Coturnix japonica: one gene and its partner. The protein of the gene in region 1 purifies or fractionates together with the protein of each later gene. This does not show direct contact. Links are inferred from orthologs where the notes say so. Each region holds a gene or a part of one and is shown on either strand. Other genes may lie near its edges. The genes, in order: CARNMT1 and RNF113A.

Region 1 (11,156 bases):
GAAAAAAAGTACACCTGTTTCACAGGTTGTCAAATGTGGACTAATTAATTACATGCATGATATTTGATGGTGGTGATAACAGCGTTAGATTTCATACTAAAATCTTAGGCACCATTTTAAAATGGAAAACAATTATGCAGATACACTGAACCACTTCTTAAGCAAACATTGTCACAAGATATGACTGTTGCATATCTGATTAAAGCAGTAGTGATAAATGTAATGAAAATAAGATGTTGCTAGACATATATTTGCTCTCCTTTTGCACTATTCTCCAGTGATTGTCATCTGATGCTGGAAGTTGCATCTTATAGTTAAGCTGATGTAATACCTTGCAGCTACTGAAAGGAAGTCATCCCCTCCTCCCTAACTGTGTAACCTTTCTGTTTCTTTGAAATTTTTGGAACTATACAAAGTAGCATTAAAGTATTAATTTGCCATTTTTGGGAACATTGTTCGGCAGTCATATTGGTTCAAACATGTTTTTCACCTTCGCAAAGTATGGCATCTTTAAACATTTGCTTGTTGTTTTCTATTTATAGAAAATATATTTAACGAAAAGGCATGCATAGATTGGACTTCCTAACTGTTTTTGATCTTACACTGTCAAATTGGGTGTCACTTTGTTTCTGGGAGAGTTACCAGTTACAAATTTTGTTATTTGCAGGGAAGAAAAATACTCGTAACTGCTACACTAACTGAATTCCAGTCATTTCAGCTGATTTCCTTACTGTCAGATCTGATCATGCCTTGGGATATCAGTTTGGAAAATTTTACAGAATTTTGAGAGTTTTGTTTTTAGTATTAGGTGTCTGTTCCTTGTTAGCCTTTGGAAATCTATATTTACCTTCCTGGCTTTGGAAAATAAGCATTGATCAACGTGAGCAGAACATAGCGGCTAAGGACAAGTGTAAAGGAAAAAAAAAACTTCAAAAATTTTGCAGATTAATCTTAGACTCTGGTTTAAATACATTTCTGGTTTTCATTTGATAAAATTAGAAGGATTTTGCTAGTGTGTGTTTACAGATTCGATCTGCCTTGTGCCCCTGGCTGACCTTAGTTTATTTTTAGGAATATAAGGTACTGTCATGAGTAGCAAGTCTATTCTACATATGACTAACGTCTTCTGTGTGCAGAGATACCTGCTGATCTGAACAGACATAAAAAATAAATTCTCTTAAGTTATGACATTTTTTTCACCTTGAATGAGGTTTGATAGTGTTAAATATAGGAAATGCATCAAGGCCTAGCTATGTTCACCTGTGAATATTTGAAGTATAAAATTAAAATGCATTATTATGAAGTTTTAATCTGAAAATACACTTGTTCTGGAGTAGTTAAACTCCAGTGGCTCCAAGACACCCACCTGATTCTGCTTTATTTATTCTGATTTAAGGCTCTTACTGCTGGTTTCTTTTTGTTACATTTAGATGAGTTCAGTCTGTAACAGATGGCAGAGGTGATGAACAGACTCCCTGTGATTTTTATTAAGAACAAAAGCTGTTAAAAGCATAACCTGTTTTCCTGCCTCTGGAAGGCATACCAAAAGTTCAGGTGAAGTAATATAAAATTTTGTACCCAAATAACAGAGTGCTTTAAGAAGAGCTCTTAAATAGAAGTGTATTTCATGCTAATTAAAAACTGGCTAATCCTTGGTCTCATGCAAAAACATCTTTGTAGATAAATCTTGACACTTTGAGAAGGCTGCTCAATTCTACTTATTGCATGTCCGTGAGTGCCTTAGGATGAAAGTAGTTAGCGTTCTATTTTGAAATCAGTGGTCAAAAGTAAGGTATGGCCTCACTATCTTTTGGAGTGCAAGCGTTTCAGACTAAATATTGTACAGGAAATGTTCTGCCTTTTCTTGAAAAGAAATGAAATGTGTCACAGTTTTACTTGAGGATGTCAACTTTATCTAACATGTTTTGCAGAAAGAGGGAAACGTGAAGATTTGCTGTAGTTTCTTTGCTTCGTTGCTTGTTGTTATTTTGGTTGACTTTTTTTTTTTTTTTTTTGAGTAAAAAGGAAGATTTTTCAAGAGGGACTGTAAACATAAGAATTAGTCTTTTATACTGAATCAGTAATTCCTTCTAAAACTGTTGGGAAGTCTACATTAGTACAATTTGTGCTGGAAAAAAAAAATATCTAGAGGTGTTTCCTCCCTTATAGCTCAGAAAAAAATTCCATTCTGATCTACTCAGATTTTTTTTTTTTCCTTTTCCTTGCTTTTTTGGAAAATTTCATTCTTACACAGAATATTCATAGGCTAGTACAAATTGACTCTGAGCACATGAGAGTGCCACAATAGTTAGCACAAAACATTTGTTGGCAGATTTTGAAATGTTTTGTTTTAAGAAAATGATGCCCCTGTGGTTACAGTTTTTTACCTAATTGTTTTCGTTGGCTAATTGCATGTGTCTGATTATCTCCATACATGGTGGACAAATAAACATCAGTTAATGTGCTCAGTATACTGCTGCTCATACAACAGCAGCATTGTGGGGTATTTCTGTTTTTTATGGATTAAATACAAATATTTACAAAGGTAAAAACTGTTATTTCTAGGACTCTGACACTGATTTTTCTTTTTTTTTATCCTCCAGTGAATAGTGTGTTTTCTACAAGCTGGTGGACTGCTTGCAGTTTACAAGTGTTTGCTGTGTGTTCTGTTGGATAGATGTGTCCTCTGTTATCTGAATTTAGTGATGCGTGTGTAACATAGCCTTAATAATTGGGCTAGAGAGCAGGATACACTTTTGCTCAGGGAATGAAAATCGCCTCATTTTTCAATTAAATATTGATTTTGCAGGACTGTGTGTAAAGGTGTTCCTCATATTTTCATGCTGTTTTTGTCAGTTTTTAAAATACATGTTCTTCTAGTTGGTCATGTCAATCCACAAGTTCTGTTTTATGATGACATACTTATTAGTGCATGCTTATACTTGACATAAGTTGAGTATTTTAGATTTTGCTGACTTAAAATGGAATTACAAAAATTACACTTTGCAAAAAGGAATTTATATATATATATATATTTATTTATTTATTTATCATATATAAATAAATATATTCATTCATTCATTCATTTATTTATTTATATATATATATAAATTTAAATGCATAATTTCAGTTGGCATCCGAAAAATGCTTTTGTTTTGTTGGCCTTTGAAACTTTTATGGTTCAGGAGCAGGAAGGCCTTGGATGAGAACAGATGTGGTCAAGGAAGTTTAAAACAAGTACAGAAGTAAGAGAATCCTTTCTGTAAATAGGGGGGAAAAAAAGATTGATGCAAAATGCTTATAATTACTATGGATATTAAATCACAAGTGTCAGTAATTCTATGCAGGGAATTCTAGTCATTTTTGTTGGGGAAATTGGGAATAATTGTAAAAAGGAGAAAAATTAAAATGAAGAAAAGGCAGTCATCATGTGGTTCAGTTGATGTGTCAGACTGAATTTGCTATTTTGAACAGCTCATAAATTGTTGGGCAGCCTGAATTGTTTTGAACTAGATAAGGTGAAAAAACAATAATAGGTTTAGCATGAGCTTCATTGACGAAAAAAAAAAAGCATGTTGGAAGTTTGTCTCGTACATTTCTAGATAATGTGTAAGCAATTAGTTGAAACTAAATTGTTCCAATTTCTATATTTTCTAGATGTTCTGAAGTTAACTCATGTAAGCTTTACCCCTGGATTCATCAGTTTAGCAATAACAAAAGATCTGCAGATCAGATACGTCCAATTTACTTCCCTGATGTTGATCCTCACAGTCTTCCTTCTGGTTCAAACTTCTCTATGACAGCAGGGGATTTTCAAGAAATTTACTCTGAATGCAGTGAGTAAAATCATCATTTAGACCAGCTGCGTGGTTCAGACTATTTGTTGTGATTGTAATATATAAACACATAAACAGAATATAACCAATATCTATGAGCATTAAGCAAAAAAGTACCAGCGTTAGTAAGATATTTTTTTTCTAAATCAATTTTTTGTTTTGGTTATTAAAAAATAAAAATAAAAAAATGGATGCATCCTTTCCTCCTTTCCTAATGAACATTTGTTACGGTTGTGTCTTTTAGAATAAGTCAACAAGGAAAAATTATGGAAAGGTTAACCTGATCGGGAAAGATGATGTTATGAGCTGGAATAGAAAGTTAATTTTCTTATTCAGTACAAAATATACAAATTTGTATTTCTTACTTATTTATTTCCTGTTATTAAAGCAGATGTATGTGTGCTTACTGGTCAGTCATGAGTATTTCCGAGATACGCTGTGGCAGTGATAGGTAACAAAGACTGAGACTTATGCCAGTACAGATACCACTTTTTTCTCTTGTGATGGTAGGTTAGTTGTGCTGTTTTCTTTGTGGCCAAAGCAGTCTATTATGATGGAGCTGAATTAACCTTCAGATGACCATATTTAGCACCTACTCTGTCAATTATGTGCACAAGACTAGATCAAAGGCAGCACATACTTAACTTTTATATATAGTCTAACATCTCATTTCTTCAGAACCTGGTAGAGCTAGATAAATAAATAAATATTCAGGTTATATAAAAGTCAGTATTTTATCCTCACACAGCATTAGATATCACTTGGAATGCCTATTTTTTGTTACAGCTCTCATCCATTCTGTTTTCATAGCAGTTTTTCACCACTATTAAAATATTTTTGTTATTTTTTGTAGTATTTTTACAGTAGTTGCCTTCCTTACATTTGCTTGCTGTTCTGAAGATGTTATCTTAAGAATGTTAAGATTTTTATTTTATTTCAGAAGCTTAAACTTTTACAATTTCAATGATACATGTTTAGAGACAAACAGGGAGATTCATGCTTTAAATGTATTTAACATAAAATGTTTTGCACTTAGTTTCTTGTAAATGACAGTTTACTTTTAATTTAAGTGTGGTGTTCAGTTGTTACTGTTATTTAAAGGAAATAGTGAGCGTATAAACAAATACTGGTGTTAAATTATGAATTTCTATAGGGGAAAAGAAAATTTAAATTAATCTGTACATTTTATTGTTCTTACACAGATACTTGGGACTGCATAGCAACTTGCTTTTTCATTGATACAGCACATAACGTTATTGATTATATTGATACTATATGGAAAATACTGAAGCCTGGAGGCATATGGATAAATGTAGGCAAGTGTGACCAACTTTCTTCTTGCAACTTCTGACTTCCCTTTACTCACATAGCAGGCATTTTGTGCTATGAAATAGTTGTGGGGATGAAGGCGTCTGTACTAAAGACTGTGTGGAGATAAGAACACACATAACTTTTAAATTTTGTGTTCAGCATTTGTTCAAATATTAGTTACAGTCAAGTTACCAGCACATGATTTGAAATGTTGAAGTGTATCTTCCCAGTGCTAGGTTTCTCATACATGTGTCACACTTTTGTTATCTGACAATTCTAGTGTGCTGTGTTCTTGCTATTAATTAAAGCTCCTAAGTATAAGTTTTGGAAATGAGATTTATGGGTTTCCTTATCTTAACTAAAAACAGGGTTTAAGTTTCCTATGGTGAGAGACTGGCAGGCAAAACTCTATTATTAAACATTTTGTGTGGGATAAACTTGTCAGTCACAGAATGTGAGCACAGGTCTTGAGTAGATCATGGTTTGGCCTGCATTCTAGTTGGTACACACAGCAGTGATAGTAGACTGATAGAATGGAAGAAAGTTTAAGGTACAGAAAACATGATTTAATGGGAAATGAGACTTCATTCTTGCATACGCAATTGAACTACTGTGATTTTGCACAGAATACTGTATTTCAGTGATAGCAATATGTTCCAGCTTAGTGGGTCTGGATGTTAGCATTCTTCACATTTTCAGTATGTGGTTTTGGTTTTAAAAATGTTTTTGATAGACATTTCCATTTTATGTTTGCACTCCAGGTCCTCTTCTTTACCACTTTGAAAATCTGGCAAATGAACTTTCAATAGAGTTAAGCTATGAGGATATAAAAAACGTTATACTGCAGTATGGCTTCCATATAGAGGTAAGAAGATGATGTAGCTTTGACTGAGCAGTATTGGTAGAGACCTGATAAAGTCTTTAAATAAAAGTTTATCTTAAAGTTCATTCAAGCTAGCGTCATAGACAAAAAACTTTTAGGAGAGTAGGTTGTGTGTAATTGCATCACAAGTTTGCTTTCCTCATTTTTTTAAAGTGTGAGGCTTTGAAATCTATGGGCTATAATTAAGTAGCAGTTTATTTCACTAAGAGAAGTTTGGGTAGTGCTTGAAAATGTTTTGAAAACTTACGCTTTTTTTCCAGGTGGAGAAAGAATCTGTTCTGTCAACTTACACTGTGAATGAACTCTCCATGATGAAATACTACTATGAATGTGTGTTGTTTGTGGTGAGAAAACCAGAAGAGAAGTGCTTTGAATAGGTTAGTCAGAAAAGAGTTTGGCCTGAATGCTAGAAATAAAAATAATATGGACTGATTGATGTCTGGACGCAACCTCAAATCAGTGGTGCCTTCCTATTCCTAATAAGATTTAGATAGTGTCTATTTTCTTAATATTTCTGTTGCTATCCAGACATGTACTATGCCATACGTATTTGTACTATGACTAGTGAAAATGGAGGATAAAATATTTGCATATACTGTCTTTGTGCTTTGGAATGCGTTAAGAACAAAAATGTTTTTTAGGACATAAAAATTGTTTGCCAGAGCCAAGCTAATTTTACAAATGCTGCCTCGTTTTCCTTGGATTTATAATGATTTTGGGTGTTCTGCTTTTGGGTGTTTCTGCAAAGAGGTACTTACTGTACTTACTGCATCACATTTAAAGAAGTATTTTTAAATGTACATTTAAAGTCAGTTATGAAGTCTGAAATGATTGAAAATTTATGAAATGATTAAATGACCTGTTACTGAGGCGGTGGCAACCTACCAGGGGGGTTTTAGCTAAATGATCATCTCATGGCCTTGAAACAGAAATATTGGATGCATTGTGGCTTTAAGACACACTGATTTTGAGTCACCTACTTACCGCTTAAGCCAAAGTGTTAAACATATAATTAACAGAAAGCTACAGTAAACCTTTCACTCATCTCTTTTTCAGTGTTAATGACAAAACTGTTATCCATGCTACTTGTAGGTAGTGACAGAGAAAAATCCCTCTTTCTTGAGGAATAAAAAAAAACAAAAAACCATGTAAATAATGTGCTGTAACTTAGTAAATTTCCTAACCTGGGTCAGCATTGTAGCTTTAGGCACTTTACTACTTAGTGGCTTACTTCTAGGTTCCTTTTCCTAATTATTTTTCTGGTTAATGAGGCTTAGGTGGATATTTAATCTGCAAATCCTAGCCAAACCTTCGTAGAAGTAAGGCTGAATCTTCTTTTGCTTAAGTTATATAAATGAAAAAAAATTACTGAGCTTAGAGGAGGTATCATGGTAGCCATTTGTCCTCTTTAATGTACTGGTTTGGTTCAGTACCACCTTTACTGTTATTCAAACTATAAGAACCTTGTGGTAAGGAATTAAGGGTGTTTTCAGGGTCACAATGGTGCACTGGACAATAACTTGTTTAAATGTTTACAATTATTTCCGGTCCCTTTTTCAGGGTGATGTCAGAATCTCATAATCACATCTTTTTTATATTTCCATTGCTAAGTTTGGGGTTTTTCCTGTTAAGGCTGGACATTTGTGCCTTCATTTCTAAGATGAAAGTTTGCATGGAAGAAAAACACAGCTCTGTTACTTTGTTGGTTTGTGTTTAAACGTTAACACTGCACATAGGAAAAGAGCGATTGTGGGTGTTTCAGTACCGTGCCCCTTTCTGGTCAGAATTTTTACTGAGAATAAAGACTTCTGGACTACAGAAGTTTTCAGCTTTACACAAAATACTCTTGTTAGAAACTGCACCTCCAAGACTTTACTCTGTTAATGAACTGCTGAGTTTCTGCTTTGGTCCAAGAAAGGTTTTTAAAGTGCTGCTACCACAGTGGGATTAAAATAAGAGCCCTTCCACACCTTCAAAATAATAATAATAATCTTACTTTTATTCTCTTACTGTATTATTTACTTTGGTTTCTGGTTAGACTTTGTGTTTCTTCACTTTTTTTTTTTTTTTCTGCTCAGATAAAACAAGATTAGCGTTTTGGTTTCCAAGTTCCTGAATGCTAATGAGTTAGCTGAATGTTGGTCCTGCTGAGGCTGAGGGCTGCCCTGTCCTAGCAGTCAGTGGTTACACCCAACATGCGATGTTTCCTACACATATGAAATTGTACCCTTGTGTTCTGGTTGAACATTGCTATCCTTCATTCAGTTGGCTTTGTTCGTTGCTGCCCCATGTTGTCACAAGTGCCATTTTCAGCACTGGTTATAGAAGTGGTTTAATTGACTTTAATCATGTATATAGCAATGTGCTTGTATTTCTCATTTGGAAAATGCCAGCTTTCCCCCACGAATTTCCTTTTAATGCGTAGCAGCTTCTTTAACAGCTGGAAGCGGCACAGCCTTGTGAATCGGTGGTGTGAGTCAGTGGTGTGGAACCCTCTGCCCTGCCTGCGCGGTCCTAGGCTGCTCCATCGCCCTGCCGGGGATAACTGCTGTGCCACACTCCTCCCGCTGCACCCAGTGTGAGTGCGCTCCCAGATCCTGGCCTAACAAATGCTTCTGTGTATGGAGTATGTTTGACAAATGTAAAGCTACCTGTGTTATTATTTATATGTAGTGCACACACAGCACAGTCACAAAGATGGGGATTGGAAGCTTCATGTCTCCGCGTGAACTTTCCGCTATTTTTAATGTGTGTAATGAACTTGATTTTACTCAGACATTAAAGTTTGCAGTACGACACGGCGTGCGGTGTGCTTTGTCGTCGGCTTGAGTACGGCTCAGGTCCCGCGTGTTCCTGCCCTTGGTTATGCAGGGCTCCGAGCTGCCCATGCAGCGGGGCGGGGCCTCACGGCGGCGTGGTCTCGCCTTGTCCCGCCCCACGCGGGTGCTGGGGAAGCGGCGGCGCGCATGCGCATTCGGCGAGTGGTGGTGGTGGTGCGTTCGCCGCCGCGGTCGTTGCGTCGCGCGGAATCTGCGCGCCCGGTTCCCCCCATGGCCAAGCGGCGCGCGGAACCGCTGGTCTGTTACGCGCCCTTCAAGCGGCTCCTGCGGGAGCCGCCGCTCCGCAGCGCCCTGTCCGAGCGCCGCCCGCGGAACGAGGCAGCGGGCGCCGGCTCCGCCGCCAAGCGGAAGCTGGAGGAGGCCGAGGCGCCTCCGGGAAAGCGTCCCGGGCTGCGGGGCGGCAGTCCACGCGGCGAGCAGGGCGACGCGGCAGGCAGGCGACGGCGGCGGAGCGAGCCCGCGGCGTCACAGAACGAGCGGACGGCGGAAGGAAGCGACGGCAGGCGGGGCGAGGAACCGGCAGCCGCCCCGGTAACGGCGCGGGGAGCGGGGCGGGGCTGGGAGGGAGGTGCTGCTTCGCAGCCTGGGGCCTCACGCCCAGACGCTCCGGCACGGCGCTGCAGGCCCCGCAAAACCACGTGCCCTCGGGCAGCACTGCCGTGCGCGGCCGATGGACCCTTTGGGCTCTTGGTCGTGTATTTTCTGCAGCTAAGAAAGCGGTGTTTTCTTTCAGAAAGGCTGGAACCTTTCTGCAGTAGAAAGTCTGGGGGGAGCGCTTGTCTGTGTTTACTGTGTCTACAGTCACATCCCCGTCCAAAAGCGAGGTGGAAGTTTGAAGGTAGTGCCTCTCACAAGTCGGGCTTAGGCTGTGTGGCAGCCTGGCTGCCCAGTCGGTTGCTCGAGCGAGCCCCCTTTAGTGGCGGTCCTCGCTGCTGCTGGTGCTGTGATCAGAGTGCCGGCACACGGTTGGCTTCTAGCGCACCTGGGCAGCGCCGAACAATGGAGCAGGATGGCCTGCCTCTTCTGGCCGCCTTCTGTGCAGTAGCATAGCAGGCAACATGTGGTTCGAGGAAGGTTTTAGCTTCTTATAAGTAACACCTGCGTAGAGGTCTGCAGCATGTGAACTCACGTGTACCTTTCAGATGAAAGCAAAGAATTGGATCTGGTGGCCTTATGGTGGCAGGTCTGGTAGGATGGAGGGACATCAGGCCCATTCTCAAGTTGATCCTTTGATTGTACAGCACTGTGACTTGTAAAGACATCTTTTCAGTGGTCTGTGGGGACAGGGCGAGGGTAAACAGTCATGAACTGGAGCATAGAAAATTCTACACCGGTATATGAAGGAACTTCTTCACAGTGAGGGTGACGGAGCACTGGAACAGGCTGCCCAGGGAGGCTGTGGAGTCTCCTCTGGAGATACTCAAGACCCACGTGGATGCTTAACTGTGCAGCCCACTGTAGGGGCCTACTTTGGTAGGGGGGTTGGACTTGATGATTTCTACAGATCCCTTCCAACCCCTATGATTCTATGATTTGTGACTTCTTTTACCTCAGGCTTTTCTTTTTGTCTGTGTTTTCTGGTGTATTGTAGAACTGAGGCATGAAGGAAGTGAGGGAAAAAATATGCTATACAAGTATGGTAGATGCTTGTATAATTTGCTTTATAGAATATTTAGAAAAAAAGATGAACAAATACAAACTGGAGTTCACGGTAGGCTTGTATTGCAGTGAGTAGAGGAATGTTATTTTTAGAGGGAAAGTACTGTGAGTTTATACACTTAATTTTTTAAATTTTGTTAAAGAAAAAAAGGCATGGTTATTCTGGTGGTTGAGAAGGGCTATGGCCAGTGCTTACTGGAATTTATTGAACATTACATATTTTTTATTAATCAGTTATGGAGTCAGCAGACAGAGCATGAATTTGTTCAAGAGCCATCTCAAAGCAGGTGTACCAGTTCAGTTGCTGAACCCCTTTTTTTAGCACTTGGATATACTGAGACATTTAATATACTGCCTTAACAGTTCCAGTTACAAGTTAATAAAAGCATTTATTGTTTTCATATACCAAAAGAAATTGCATGCTTAAGATGTAAGGAGTTGCTTGAGAATTCCTTTTTTCACTTCCTACATACATAAATAACTTGTATGGATACATGTATGGGTTGGCCACCCAGTCTGTAGATTTTATTCTGTGGTTAAGGATGTAAGGTTAAAAACCAATACCACTTTCCAACAGAGGTTTTTACAAGTTTTTGTTTTTTTCTTTCTATTGAAAGATTGCCAATT
Region 2 (12,195 bases), on another chromosome or scaffold:
GATCCAGGCCCTCTCCCTCTCCATCCCAAGAAGATGCCATGTCCCCAGCAGCATGCCATGGGTTCCACTCCTCAGAGGGGCTGTTGAGCATTATATTTGGTACTGCTGACATCCCCATGACCACGTGTAGGATTAGTGCAAATGCTGGCCATGGCATGGCCAACCCCTGCATCAAACAGGCCAGCATCAGCCCAGGGACACAACAACCCAAGTGCTGCTGCAGCTCCTCAGGCATGGAAAGGGGCAGCAAGCTGCAGCCTGGGTTGGACAACATAAGTGTGGTGGTCATGGCTTCAGCCTTGGCAGACCTCAAGTCATGGTGGTGATGGGCTGGCAATTGGACCTGATGGTCTGAGTGGTCTTTTCCAGCCTCAATGATTCCATGATTCTAAGTTGGCTTCAAATCTGAGCTCCTCAAGTGGCTCCAAGCCAACACTGGTGTTTGGGACCCAGCCCAGGTTCCTGCTGCTGCAATCCAGGACAGAGGGCTCTGGAGGGAACCAAGTGGTCCACTCATGCAGCCCCCCATGACCCTACTGAGCCCCACCACGCAGGGCTGCCCCTCTCATCCACTTTCCATCCACGTTTCGTGCTGTCTCTTGAAAGGCTGCCAGTGGGCAGGAAATCTGCAGCCGAAATGCTGAGGGATGCTGACAAGGAATAGTTGTGGGGAGGAACAGGGCTGCCTTTGTCAGAGCAACAATGGAGGACCCACAGGAGCCAGGGGAAGCCCCTGCCCAGCCATTCTACTCTCCCACCTTCAGCTCTGGGAGCTCCACGTCCAGCCTTACCCTGAGGATGCTGCTGGGATCCATCTGTTTTCCAGCAGTGGGAACTGAAGCACAGAGCAGCCCATCCCTTGGACTAGAGCCATGTTTTATGGCATCCATTAAGAACCACGAAGGGAATCTCTGCTCCCTGGGTTCTGCTATCTCGTTCAGAGTTCAGAGAGTGGACAAATGCAGCAGGGAGCTGCTGGGTGGGGGAGAGGAGATTCTTTTCCAGGCAGAGAAATGTCTCTCATTAGCACCAGATGATAAAGCAGAGTCAGAATGACAGGTTGGGAGGTTCAGATTGGACATTAGGCACAAATGCTTCAGAAGAAGGAAGACTTGGAAGCTCTGCAGCATGGTACTAAGTGCAGCACACACAAGCACAGCAGTTCTGCCCCTTCCATCCCCTTCTCAGTGCTTCCTTAGCCTTAGAAGACTCCCCCCATGTTCTACCCACAAACTCAACCTCCCAGTTTCCTACCAACATGTTTATCCCTTTACTGTGGAATTTTGCTCCCAGTTTGCCCACTATAACTCATGGAGGTTATGCTTATCAGCCTCCTCTTTTTTGACCACAAGAAGCCAATCCCTTTAATCTGTTCCTATAAGACAAGTTCTCCATCCCTTCTGCTGCACCAGAGGAGGGCTCAGACCTTTGCATCCCCCTTGGACCCCTTCCCTAGCAACACACATCTGTGCTGATCCACTCTTCCCCTGCAGTGCCCCCCACTCGCTGGCCATATGGAGATATGGAGCGGGCTATGGGCTCACAGGAGGAGTGAGAAATATATTGTGTATTTAAAGACTGCTATAATCCCTTCACCCAGATTTAACGTTGTCCACCCCGGAGCTTTGCTAATAGCAAGGTAAGCTCTGCAACACTCCCAGATGGCAGATAAAAAATGGTATTAGTGGAAAGCAAAAGGCAGACACCTCTAGGAACATGGCAGCTGTGTGACAATGGGCTGCAAAGAGCCAAGGATGGGCATAGAGGAAAAGGAAAACCCCTCACAGCTATGGGACTGCTTGTAGGTTCACAGGCCTGCAGGAGGAAACCACAAATGGAACTCCCTTCCCTAATGAGAAGCCTCATGGGGGCTTCTGGTGAGCAAAAAAGGCCAGTACTTTTGTTGTGAGCCTCATAGAAACAAGGATGTATGCGGTCACTGCACACCCCGTGCTGAGCCTCACTGCTCACCTGGGAGTTTGCCTCCTATGGGACCCCATGGGGAGAGGGGAGCAGCACTGAGGCTGGTTCAGACTATAGTCCATCAGTTACCCTGCCATTATGTTTCAATCAGCATTAATAATGCTGCAGGCATGCTGCCCCCAGCCCTAAAGCTCAGCTTGGAGAGCCCTCGTGAGATGCTTTCAGTGCACAAAGCCCCATTCCTAAAGCACAGCACAGGCTGCCACACAACTCCAGCGTTCCAAAACAGATCTCCACCCCATCAACAATGGAAAAACCAATAAAACCCATCATCTACGTGGTATCTCAGCTGGTCTGAGGGATCCAAAGGGATTACAGGGACCAGATCATTGCCTTACCCAATGGTCACAGCACAGAGTTGCCAACTGGGAGCCCTGGGGCTGTAGTTTTTTGGGTGATGCTGAACACTTTGGTTTTTTATCCATTCCCTTTCCCCCTAGTGAAAGCAGAGCTGTTTCCCTTTGTGAAGCCCTGAGGGGGGTCCCCAGCTGCTCGGGGTGGGGGATGTCAGAGCTGGGGGTGTGTTCACGTTGGGATCAAACCTCACAGTCATGCAACAACCTCCTGAGGGGGTGATGGAGGACCTGTGGCTGCAGGGATATAAAGCAGGGCTGGATGGGCGCTGGGAGACACAGCACGGAGATACAGCAGGCAGCAGCCAAGGGGCTGGGGGAGGAGGGGGCATAGAGAAGCGGGGATCTAACAGGTTTTCTTCTATCTCCTCTCTTTCTGCTCAGCTTAAGAAAATGGATCTGTCCAACCCCACCACACCCCCAAGCACGGGATGCAGCACACAACAAAGAGGGAGCTCAGCACAGCTGGGGAACCCCAAAATGTTCCTACCCACCCCCCTCTAAACACCGCACGCCCAGACCCTATTCACTCCCCTCCCCGCTCAGCACCGGGTGCGGACCCCTCTCCATTTCCCAACAGAATCCCAACCCCAAAAGGCATCCAGAGCTCAGACAGCATCCCCCGAGTGCTCCCCCACCCTAAAGTCCCTCGACCGAGCCGCCTCCCGGAGCAGAAGTTCCCCCCTGGAGGATCACACAGACATTTTGGGGGGGGGGGTCCCCCACCTGCTGCGCAGCCCCATATGGCAGCACCGCTATCGGGGCTCCCCACCTGCAGCCCCCATTTCTCCCCATCATCTCCGAGCCCTCCCACCCCGCTTTGTTCCCCTCCCCCATTGTTCCCGACAAACCCAAACCCACCATACCCCCGGGTCCGCCGCCGAGCAGCACAAGGGCTGAGCCCTCCCCGTGCTGTCCGTTGCTCTGTCCGTCCGTATCTCCGTCGTTCGCTCCGTCCCTTCCTCGCTCCGTGCGCGCTCCCCCCGCAGCCCCTTTTATCGCGCGGCCGTGGCGGCGATTGGTTCCTTGCGCGGTGCGGATCCGAGCGCCGCTCCTTTGTGTGCGGCCGCCTCTCCCTCACCCGGCGGCCCCCGCTGCCCCCACCCCAAAACCGCATCGCCGGCCCCATCCCACCGACCCCCCTCCCCAACCCCCCCATACCCCCCCCATACCCCCNCCCCCCATACCCCCCCCATACCCCCACCCCGCATTCTGCCGCCCACCGTGGGTGCGATGCTGCGCTCGGGGTCGCGAAGCAGCGCTCGGGGTGCGGGTACCACCCAGCGAGCGGAACCGCGATGGTGGATGGGGTTCTGTAGGGGTTCTGCTGGGGTTTTGTTGGGGTTCTATTAGGGTACTGTTGAGGTTCTGCTGGGGTTCTATTGGGGTTCTGCTGGGGTTCTGTTGGGGTTCTGTAGGGATTCTGTTGGGATTCTGCTGGGGTTCTATTGGGTTCTGTAGGGGTTCTATTGGGTTCTGTTGGGTTCTATTGGGTTCTGTTGGGGTTCTGCTGGGGTTCTATAGGGTTCTGTTGGGGTTCTATTAGGGTTCTGTTGGGGTTCTGTTGGGGTTCTATAGGGGTTCTGTTGAGGTTCAGCTGGGGTTCTGCTGGGGTTCTGCTGGTGTTCTGTTGAGGTTCTGTTGAGGTTCTGCTGGGGTTCTGCTGGGGTTCTATTCGGGTTCTATTCGGGTTCTTTTGGGGTTCTATTCGGGTTCTATTGGTGTTCTGTTGGGGTTGCTATGGCGACTCGCAATTCACCCTCCACGCCTGCAGGTGGCGCTATGCGGCCCGAGTCCTCCCGTCCAGCAGGGGGCGCTGTGCGGCTCTGCGCCCATCTAGTGCCGCTCTGTCTTGAGGCGGCGGCTCAAGATGGCGGAGGGAGGCTCAGTGTGCGGCTTCGTGTTCAAGAAGCGGGGCCTGGCGGCGGGGAGGGGGCGGCGGAAGCGGCCCAGCAGCGACCAGGAGCAGGGTGAGGGGCTGACGGGGGTGGTATATCCCGATGCGGCCTGTTGTGGTGCACGAGGGAGGCGGAGGAAGGCCGTGGGTCGTACAGCCCCTCAGTGGGGCCCGGTTATTGAGCTGTGTGATTGAGGGGCGCTGCCTCCATCCCCGGAGCCCCGCGGTCAGGCCCATTAAACCCCATTAAACCCCATTAAACCCCATTAAACCCCATTAAACCCCGCAGGGAGCAGCGGCGATGAGGGCAGCACCGTGGTGAGGAAGGAGCGACGGAGGGACGCCCCCAACCCCATGATCCAGAAGGTGAGGTGCACACAGGGCGCTGTGCTGTTGTTGTGTGGGGCACATCCAGCCTTCACACCCGCTGTCTGTCTGTCTGTCTGTCTGTCCGCCCTTCAGACCAGGAGGTGCACAAAGGAGCGGCCCTCATACGCCCTGAGCAGCAGCGATGATGATGATCCGTCGAAGGAGATCGGAGTCACGTACAAATCAACAAGGTCGGCGGTAAGGACTGAGCGCAGATGAGCTTCTGGGGTGGGGTTAATCCCATACTCATATCCCATACTCTGCTTCTGTAAATGTGCCATCAGCTCTTCTCAGTTTTGATCTGTAGCTGTGTTTCCCTGTCCCTCCCCTCCTAACACACAAGCTGGGTTTATTCTCCTGATATTCTGCATTGTTCAACAAGGAGCTCAGAGCAGCTCTGCTGGGAGGAAAGGTTGAGGGAACTGGGCTTGTTTAGCTTGGAGAAGAGAAGGCTCCGGGGAGACCTCATTGTGGCCCTAATACTTGAAGGGCAGGGCAGCACGTTCTTAGGAGGAGGTGGAGCCTTTGGGGTTCCAGAAGCTTTTGGTGTGTAAGATGGGTTTGTTTTTAATTTGAGGCTGGTTGTAATTATTTGGTTTCTGTGCAAATGAAGAGCTGACAGAACCTCAGAGCATTTGTCTGTTCACTGTATTCACAAGGAACCAAGACTAGATCACTGAATTAAAACAGAGCACAGGCTGCCCACAGCTGGGTTAAAAGTTCAGATATAACATCCTGCCTGTGGGCTGGGTGGTCTCATGGCTGAAGCACTGAACATGAGAGACCTGAGATCAGTTTCCAGCTAAGACAAGATGAAGCTTGAAGGAGTAAAGTGGGGATTTCTGTGTCCTGACTCTGCAAACTAAAACCTGGGAGCAGTCAGTAATTAACATCCTGTCTTGCACAAGTACTAGGCTGGATGCTAAGAGAAGATGCTAATAGAAGTTAGAAACTGCTGGAGGGTGAAGCAGGCCATGCCCAGCACTTGTTCAGTGACTGGCCCTCCAGGTAGCCGAGGGGTTTCTGTCTCATGCAGCCTTTCTTTTTACTGTTATCACATATTGTTCTTGCTTTTCAGAAACCTGTTGGCCCAGAAGACATGGGGGCCACAGCAGTGTATGAACTGGACACAGAGAAGGATAAAGATGCCCAGGCCATCTTCGAACGCAGCCAGAAAATACAAGAGGTTGGTCAGCCTCACTTCTAAGAGTTCATGCTATGCAGGAGTGTGTGTGCTTACTCATCTCCTTTTGCATGCCAAGACCTTGAGTCTTTTCTTGCCTGCATATTTGAGAGGTTGGAAGTGTTGTCTATGTAAATGGGGGGACTTGCTGGTGTTATTGACTACTTGGTATTAAGGAAGGTATGGCCAGGAGGGGAGGTTGGTATGGGAGAGATAAAAGCTCGCTTGTGACATGAAGATCTTCTGACCCCTAATTGCCTTTTTTTTTTTCTCTTCTAGGAACTGAGAGGAAAAGAAGATGATAAAATTTACCGTGGTATTAACAATTACCAGAAATATGTGAAGCCCAAAGACACGTCAATGGGAAATGCCTCTTCAGGAATGGTCAGGTAGGTTGGGACGAGCCTGGGATGGGGGGGGTGGATCATAGAACCACAGAGAATTTCAGACATTGTCCCCAGGGGCACTTTTCTGGGCTGAAATGATGCTGTTTTTGGAGCTTGTTCCTATCTAATGAGTTTGGTGTCTGGTTCTGGCCGGGCCCGCAGGGGTTTTCTCCATTGCAGTGACACAGCTGGACTGAGCCTTCTCCCACCCTTTCAGAAAAGGACCCATCCGTGCTCCAGAGCACTTGAGGGCCACGGTGCGGTGGGATTACCAGCCAGACATCTGTAAGGACTACAAGGAAACAGGGTTCTGCGGCTTTGGAGGTGAGTGGGTCTTGCCTGCAGGGATCCAATCCAGATGGTGAGCCCAAGTTTTGTGGCATGAAATTGCACAGTTAGTAATTCATGGGCACCTGTTTGCAGAGTTAGTATTTCCTCACCTGAGGTTATGTAGGTGGTGGGATCTCCTTTTCCTTTTCCTATGTGGGTGAATGCTGGAGCTCTTGCTGTGGCATCCAGAACGTGATGCTTGTGGCCTGTTGATCCTGAGAGGGCAGGATGAGGCCCTCTCTTGGCCTCATCTCTCTTGGCCCTGCCCTGTAGCATGGGTGGGTACAGAAGTAATTGGGTTTCACCTTGTACTGAGCAAATCTCAGGCTGCCCCTGGATGAGGTGTCCTTTGAACAGCTGGGCAATGGGGGTAGATTGTTCATCCCTCTTTTGTGCTTTCCAGACAGCTGCAAATTCCTCCACGACCGCTCAGACTACAAACACGGCTGGCAGATAGAAAGGGAACTGGATGAAGGCCGCTATGGAGTCAATGGTACAGCACAGCCCCTCTGCTCTCCTGCTCCCTAAGCTAATGGTGTATGAGGCCACAGGGTCCTTCCTTCCCTCGTGTTGAAGAGTGAATGTGACTTACAGACTTTGCTGTCTCAAACTGCACAAGCAATGGGTTGATTAGATGGAGAGAATTCCTCATTCCACAAAGCTATGGAACTCTCTGCTGTGGAGTTACCTTAGCTCCAATAACAACTGCCAGTGCTGTGCAAATCTGCTGCTTTCAGATTACCACTGACTGCTACCAGGGGGGATAATTTGCTCTGTCTGTCTATACAAAATATAGCAGTCTGTTGTTGTATGAATCCCAGCAGCAAGCAGCGTGGAGATGGGGAGATAGATAGAGCCATCTCCTGCAGCACAGATGGAATGCTTTCATGCTTTGTCACATCCCTGTTTCTCACTCAGAATCCATATCTGTGGCCCAGGGATGCAGCCAAGTGTAGCTTATGAACTGCTGGGCAGCTGCAGGGGATGTTCTCTGAGTTGAAGAGTTCAATAGCAGCTGTTTTGGAAAAAAATGTGAAAAATAAGGAACTGGAGGATGAGTCTGTTTATAGCAGCAAGTGGGTGTCGCACAAAATGTGCTCCTGTGAGATGAGCAACGAGCACACTGGCTCATTAGACCTAATTATATCTCAATCCCACACACGTTACTGACATCAGTGACACCCAGATGCTGTTGTTTCCAGCAGAGTCCATCCCACCTGCTGTACTTTCTCCATGTTCCATATTTCATGCCCTGTGCATCTGCTGGCCTGGCTGCCTCTGCTCTTGTTCCAGTCTGGTTAATTTTCCCTCGTGCAGATGAAGAGAACTATGAGGTGAGCAGCGATGAGGAGGATATGCCTTTCAAATGCTTCATCTGCAGAAGTTCCTTCAAGAACCCCGTGGTCACCAAGTAAGGAGCCAAAACATCTGTAGTGGGCTGAGTCCTTCAGTCAGTCAGTCATTCTCTTTGGTAGCAAACACTGGCATTGTCCACATGCTGGTGGAAGGAGCACGCTTGTTTGCTTTTCTGGTGGGTGGGGAAAGCCTCTGCTATGCAGGGAGTTTCATAACTACATCTCAAGCATCAACTTGGTGGGGTCTCAAGCCTTTGTTGTCCAAGAACCTTTTATATTTCTATAGATGCTGCCTGATCACATCACCTTGCACCTGTGCTGTCTCTGGGAGAGCTGATGCTGCATAGGGCTCTGTACATCCAGCTTATTTTTGCATCCCTCAGGGCTCAGTAGTTGATGATCTCTAACTCCTGGATGCAGCAGTTGTATCTGGTGACTGGCAGTACCGTCTGTTTCTCCATACAGGTGCAGGCATTACTTCTGTGAGAGCTGTGCCCTCCAACACTATCGCAAATCCCAGCGCTGTTACGTGTGTGATAAGCAGACCAATGGAGTCTTCAACCCAGCCAAAGGTAACGGCCACCTGTGGGATAGAGCTGCTGTATGATCACAGCATTCGGCTGCAAGGTGGAGCTCACAGGCAGAACTTCTCTCAGTGCTTGGAAACACCACATCAGGGCCTGGGTGCCACCACAGGGGTAAAAAAAGAGTGTTTGTGTTTGCCCAGAGGGGGAGACTGATTTCTGGTGAGGGTGCTGGGAGTGCAGACAGTAGCTCTTCTGGTCAGTAATCCACTGACAGAGCCTGGAACTTTAGCATCTGAAGCCCCACTGAAGGGCTCAGTGTTTGGTGGTAGTTCCTGGCTTAGCTTTTGTGCAGATGAGTGATTTTTGGTAGGTGCTTTGGTTCCAGGACAGAGCTGTGTTGGCAGGTCCTGGGCATCCAGCTTTGCTACTGGCCATTCCATGTTGCACCTGGAATCTCATCCTGCATCTTCCTGCTTTTCAGAGCTCATGGCAAAATTGGAAAAACACAAAGGGGAGGAGGAAGAGGAGGAGTCAGACCACTCAGAACATGGTGAAGACCCACACTAGCAAAGCACTCTGTTTTGTATGGAGCCCAATAAAGTTTTCATGGGAAGAATGCACAGATCACAGCACTTGCCTTTGGGCCAGCAGCTGCAGCCATTGGTGGTTCATCCAACCAGGCCTTGTTAAAATGGGGGCACGAGTGGTGCCAGTTGTCAGAGAAGACACAGGACAGAATGGGTAAGCTGAGTTGTCTTCTGTGCCATTAGTAGGACCACGAGGGCCTGGGGAGGGAGGGTCTGAATTTTGTTCAGTCAAATCAAATGCTAAAAGCAGAGAGAAGAATGAAAACTATTGGCTTGTACCAAGTTTATCTGTCACTTTGGAAATGCTGTTTGGGAGGTAAGCCAGACTGCTGCAGTTAGTTGTGATTTATTGCAGCTCAGAGGAGCGTATTCCCTCCCATCTTTTCTGCTGCCTTTTGATCTCTAGAAGTCAAGAGCTTAAAGTAACATCAAACAGGATTCAGGACTTCAGAGAGTGATACCACTGTGGAATCATCCCTTGGGGAGGAAGCCAGCAGCTGTACCATGTCCCTAATGCAAGGTTTTATGCCATCAGTGGTACTTCTCTCAATGATTTTTCCCTTGCTGCAACCAGCTCTGTCCAGGCCTGTGGGATGGGGATAAGAATTTGGGCAAGAAGGAAACTTCACAATGGGTTGAACTGCAAGATGCAACCTCCTAAGTATGGAGCTGAGAAGAGCATAAGCTTCCATCACCCTGCAGAAACAGCAGACTTACAAACTTCAGAAATATTTTATTTTGGAAAAAAAAAAAAAAAAAACCCAAAAACTAGAGTAACAAATTTCATCTGGCTTCAAGTCGTTTACAAACAGAAGGACCTGCTGTCAGCACCGCTCCTCCCATCAAGCACGCTTACAGGGCTGGAATCCCAGTGCTTCATTTGAGAGTGGAAAGAGCTCCAGCACCTGTGGTCCTTGGAAAGGTCAAACTAAAAAGCCTTAAACACGCCTCCAAAACCAAATGCTGTGAGCTGTCACAGCCAGGGATCAAGGGAAGCTGTGTGAAAAGCAAGCAAAGGATTTTTATATCTCATTCATTTGGGGATGATGGTACAGCAATGGCAACAGAGGGCTTAGATCAGTGAGCGTAACATTCAAAGAGGTGTTTTGTGAGTAAGAGGATTTGGTGTGAAAATTACTTTCCCTCCATGCCAAGTCACTGAGCACGGGCTGGTATGGATATTCCATGCTGTAAAAGCAGCCCAGCTAACAGGAGGCTGAGCTGGATGTGCTGTGGGAGGTTAGAAAAGCTGGTATGTTGCACAGAATTACACATTAGGATTTGATGACCCAGGCAGCCATGGGAGGAGATGGGGATGGCATCTGACCTGGAGCTCAGAGCACACAGCCTCAACTGAGAGGAGTCTTAAAAGCTCTCTCCAGAGCTGGAGCAGAGCTCAGAAGTGCAGAGGAAAGCCCAGTGCAGTGAATGTGCCCGCGACAGCCTCAGGTTACCTTCTGGTTCTCATTTTCCACCATAAAGAAGTGACCAAGCTTAAGAATGCACTCCTTTCTGCACCCTCAGAAGTTACCCAGTAACAACACAAATCCGACTAGCTCTAAGAAAATGCCCAAAACTAAGAACTGCTTTCCTCCCCTTCTTAACTCTAAGGCACCCTTTAAAAAATACATATAAAAAAATAGGGTCGTGCAGCCTTCACCTGTGAGACGAGGAAGCCAATCCTTTTTAGAAACAAGGGGAAAGAGACCATAACTGAACAGATTCACTCAACCCGTTCTTGTGTTCTCCTGCTACTCAGCTGCAAGAACTGGACTATGGGGCACTGCACCACCCTGAATGCTCCGCAGCTCCGGTCTGTCCATTTGTTTCCAGGCTTCTTTCCAAGTAAACAGGCAGCTGAAAGTTCCTTCCCAAGGACCTGTAAACTCTTCTATGTGTAACATTCATCACCTTTTATGACTCAGGAACAATAAATTACAATGTCCAGAAAGCTCCTCCAGAACCAAGCAGAGTCTCTGTTATTCTAGAACTCCCAATCATCCACATCCAGCTGCTCCAGGTTTGAAACCAGCCCAAAAATGCCACTGGGATCCTGGGGCCGCGTCCCTTCAAAGTTGGTAATGGGTGTAACAGGGCGCAGGAGTTCAGGGAGTGCTTCAGAAGCACGACGCTTGATCTGCATGGAAAAGAGAGCTCAGCTGCTGAAATGCTTCTTCATGTGGGTGGGCAGCAAGTAAGACAAACATCCTCTGTCTGCACTGAGGGATGCACAACCTGCATCTTATAACGGGACAGTGCTTTGCACAGTAACACTTGTGTGACCCTGATGTTCCCCTCAGCGAAGCTGAAGTGTCTTAGAGGAGGGAGCTGCTTGAAGAGCCACCTCACCTCACCCTCCCACCTTCCTGGAGAATGCAAGGCTCACTAACCTGCACTGCTGCTAATCACCAAGCTAAATTAATCCAGCAGCTCAGAATGCCCACCCTTAGCTCTGGTGACACAGTAAGGTAATGACTGCAGAACAGCCACTGTTCTGTATCTGTGCATCCAATGATCTCCTTACCTGCTTGAAAAAGGGATGATTAAGCAGAGCGCCTGCACTTGGCCTGTTCAAATAAAACAAAAGAAAACCAGTCAGTGCACTCTGACCCTTCAAGTTGCCCGTGCAGTTCTGTCAGCAGTTCACCATCACAATCCCATCCCACCCATCCCCTCCCTTACACCAGCTCTGGCACCCAAACTCTGTGAAGATTCAACACATTAACCCAGCAGTGGCTCTCATGGTTTATTCAGCACAAAACCTGTGCTCGTGGCAGGCCTGTGAAGAGCAGCTTCGGCCTGGCTTTACCTGAAGTCTGGGTTCCGCTGAAGGCACTGCCCAACAAAGTTATGGAAGCAGGAGGAGAAGGTCCGAAGATAAGGGTGCAGGTTTGACTCTCCATTGGCTGCTCTCACGTTGCTCACAGCCGTGCTCTCACCCAGCCCATAATTTGCACTTGAACGAGAGGTTTTCATAGTCAGCTCATCAGCAGGAATTGTGGTGGTGTCTAGCAGGCAGGGAACAGTTCCATTCAGCTTTTCCAAGAGCATCTGGAAGTGAAGGACATCAACACCCCACGTATACACAAACTCCAGTTAAAAATTCTAATTACATCTCTCATGTCCTCAGCATTTGGCCATTACCATTCTGACACCAAAGCACCATACAGAAAAAACAGCAATGAGAAGGGAATTCGGGCACCCTCCTGTCTCCACAACCCAGAG

The links.
Region 2: the proteins of CARNMT1 (region 1) and RNF113A purify together in Homo sapiens (affinity purification with mass spectrometry; 3 studies listed by BioGRID and IntAct, counting the BioPlex papers as one, with this or other methods). This does not show direct contact. The link is inferred for Coturnix japonica from reciprocal best matches to the Homo sapiens genes CARNMT1 and RNF113A.

What each region holds. Positions count from the first base shown.
Region 1 is NC_029547.1:33,100,029-33,111,184, reverse strand, and holds the end of CARNMT1 (carnosine N-methyltransferase), read left to right. Parts: intron 1-3,657; coding exon 3,658-3,836; intron 3,837-5,038; coding exon 5,039-5,152; intron 5,153-5,908; coding exon 5,909-6,012; intron 6,013-6,290; coding exon 6,291-6,407; exon of another isoform or gene 6,408-8,470; 3' UTR 8,471-8,826; downstream 8,827-11,156. Other genes in the region: CZH9orf40 (uncharacterized protein C9orf40 homolog), read left to right, coding at 8,997-9,401.
Region 2 is NC_029542.1:2,226,297-2,238,491, forward strand, and holds the start of RNF113A (E3 ubiquitin-protein ligase RNF113A), read left to right. Parts: upstream 1-4,142; 5' UTR 4,143-4,206; coding exon 4,207-4,306; intron 4,307-4,522; coding exon 4,523-4,599; intron 4,600-4,695; coding exon 4,696-4,800; intron 4,801-5,680; coding exon 5,681-5,788; intron 5,789-6,064; coding exon 6,065-6,174; intron 6,175-6,388; coding exon 6,389-6,495; intron 6,496-6,904; coding exon 6,905-6,994; intron 6,995-7,818; coding exon 7,819-7,912; intron 7,913-8,321; coding exon 8,322-8,428; intron 8,429-8,864; coding exon 8,865-8,950; 3' UTR 8,951-9,124; intron 9,125-10,631; exon of another isoform or gene 10,632-10,954; coding exon of another isoform or gene 10,955-11,107; intron 11,108-11,494; coding exon of another isoform or gene 11,495-11,537; intron 11,538-11,779; coding exon of another isoform or gene 11,780-12,021; intron 12,022-12,195. Other genes in the region: STRADA (STE20-related kinase adapter protein alpha), read right to left, coding at 10,955-11,107, 11,495-11,537, 11,780-12,021. UniProt on the Homo sapiens protein: Required for pre-mRNA splicing as component of the spliceosome. As a component of the minor spliceosome, involved in the splicing of U12-type introns in pre-mRNAs. E3 ubiquitin-protein ligase that catalyzes the transfer of ubiquitin onto target proteins.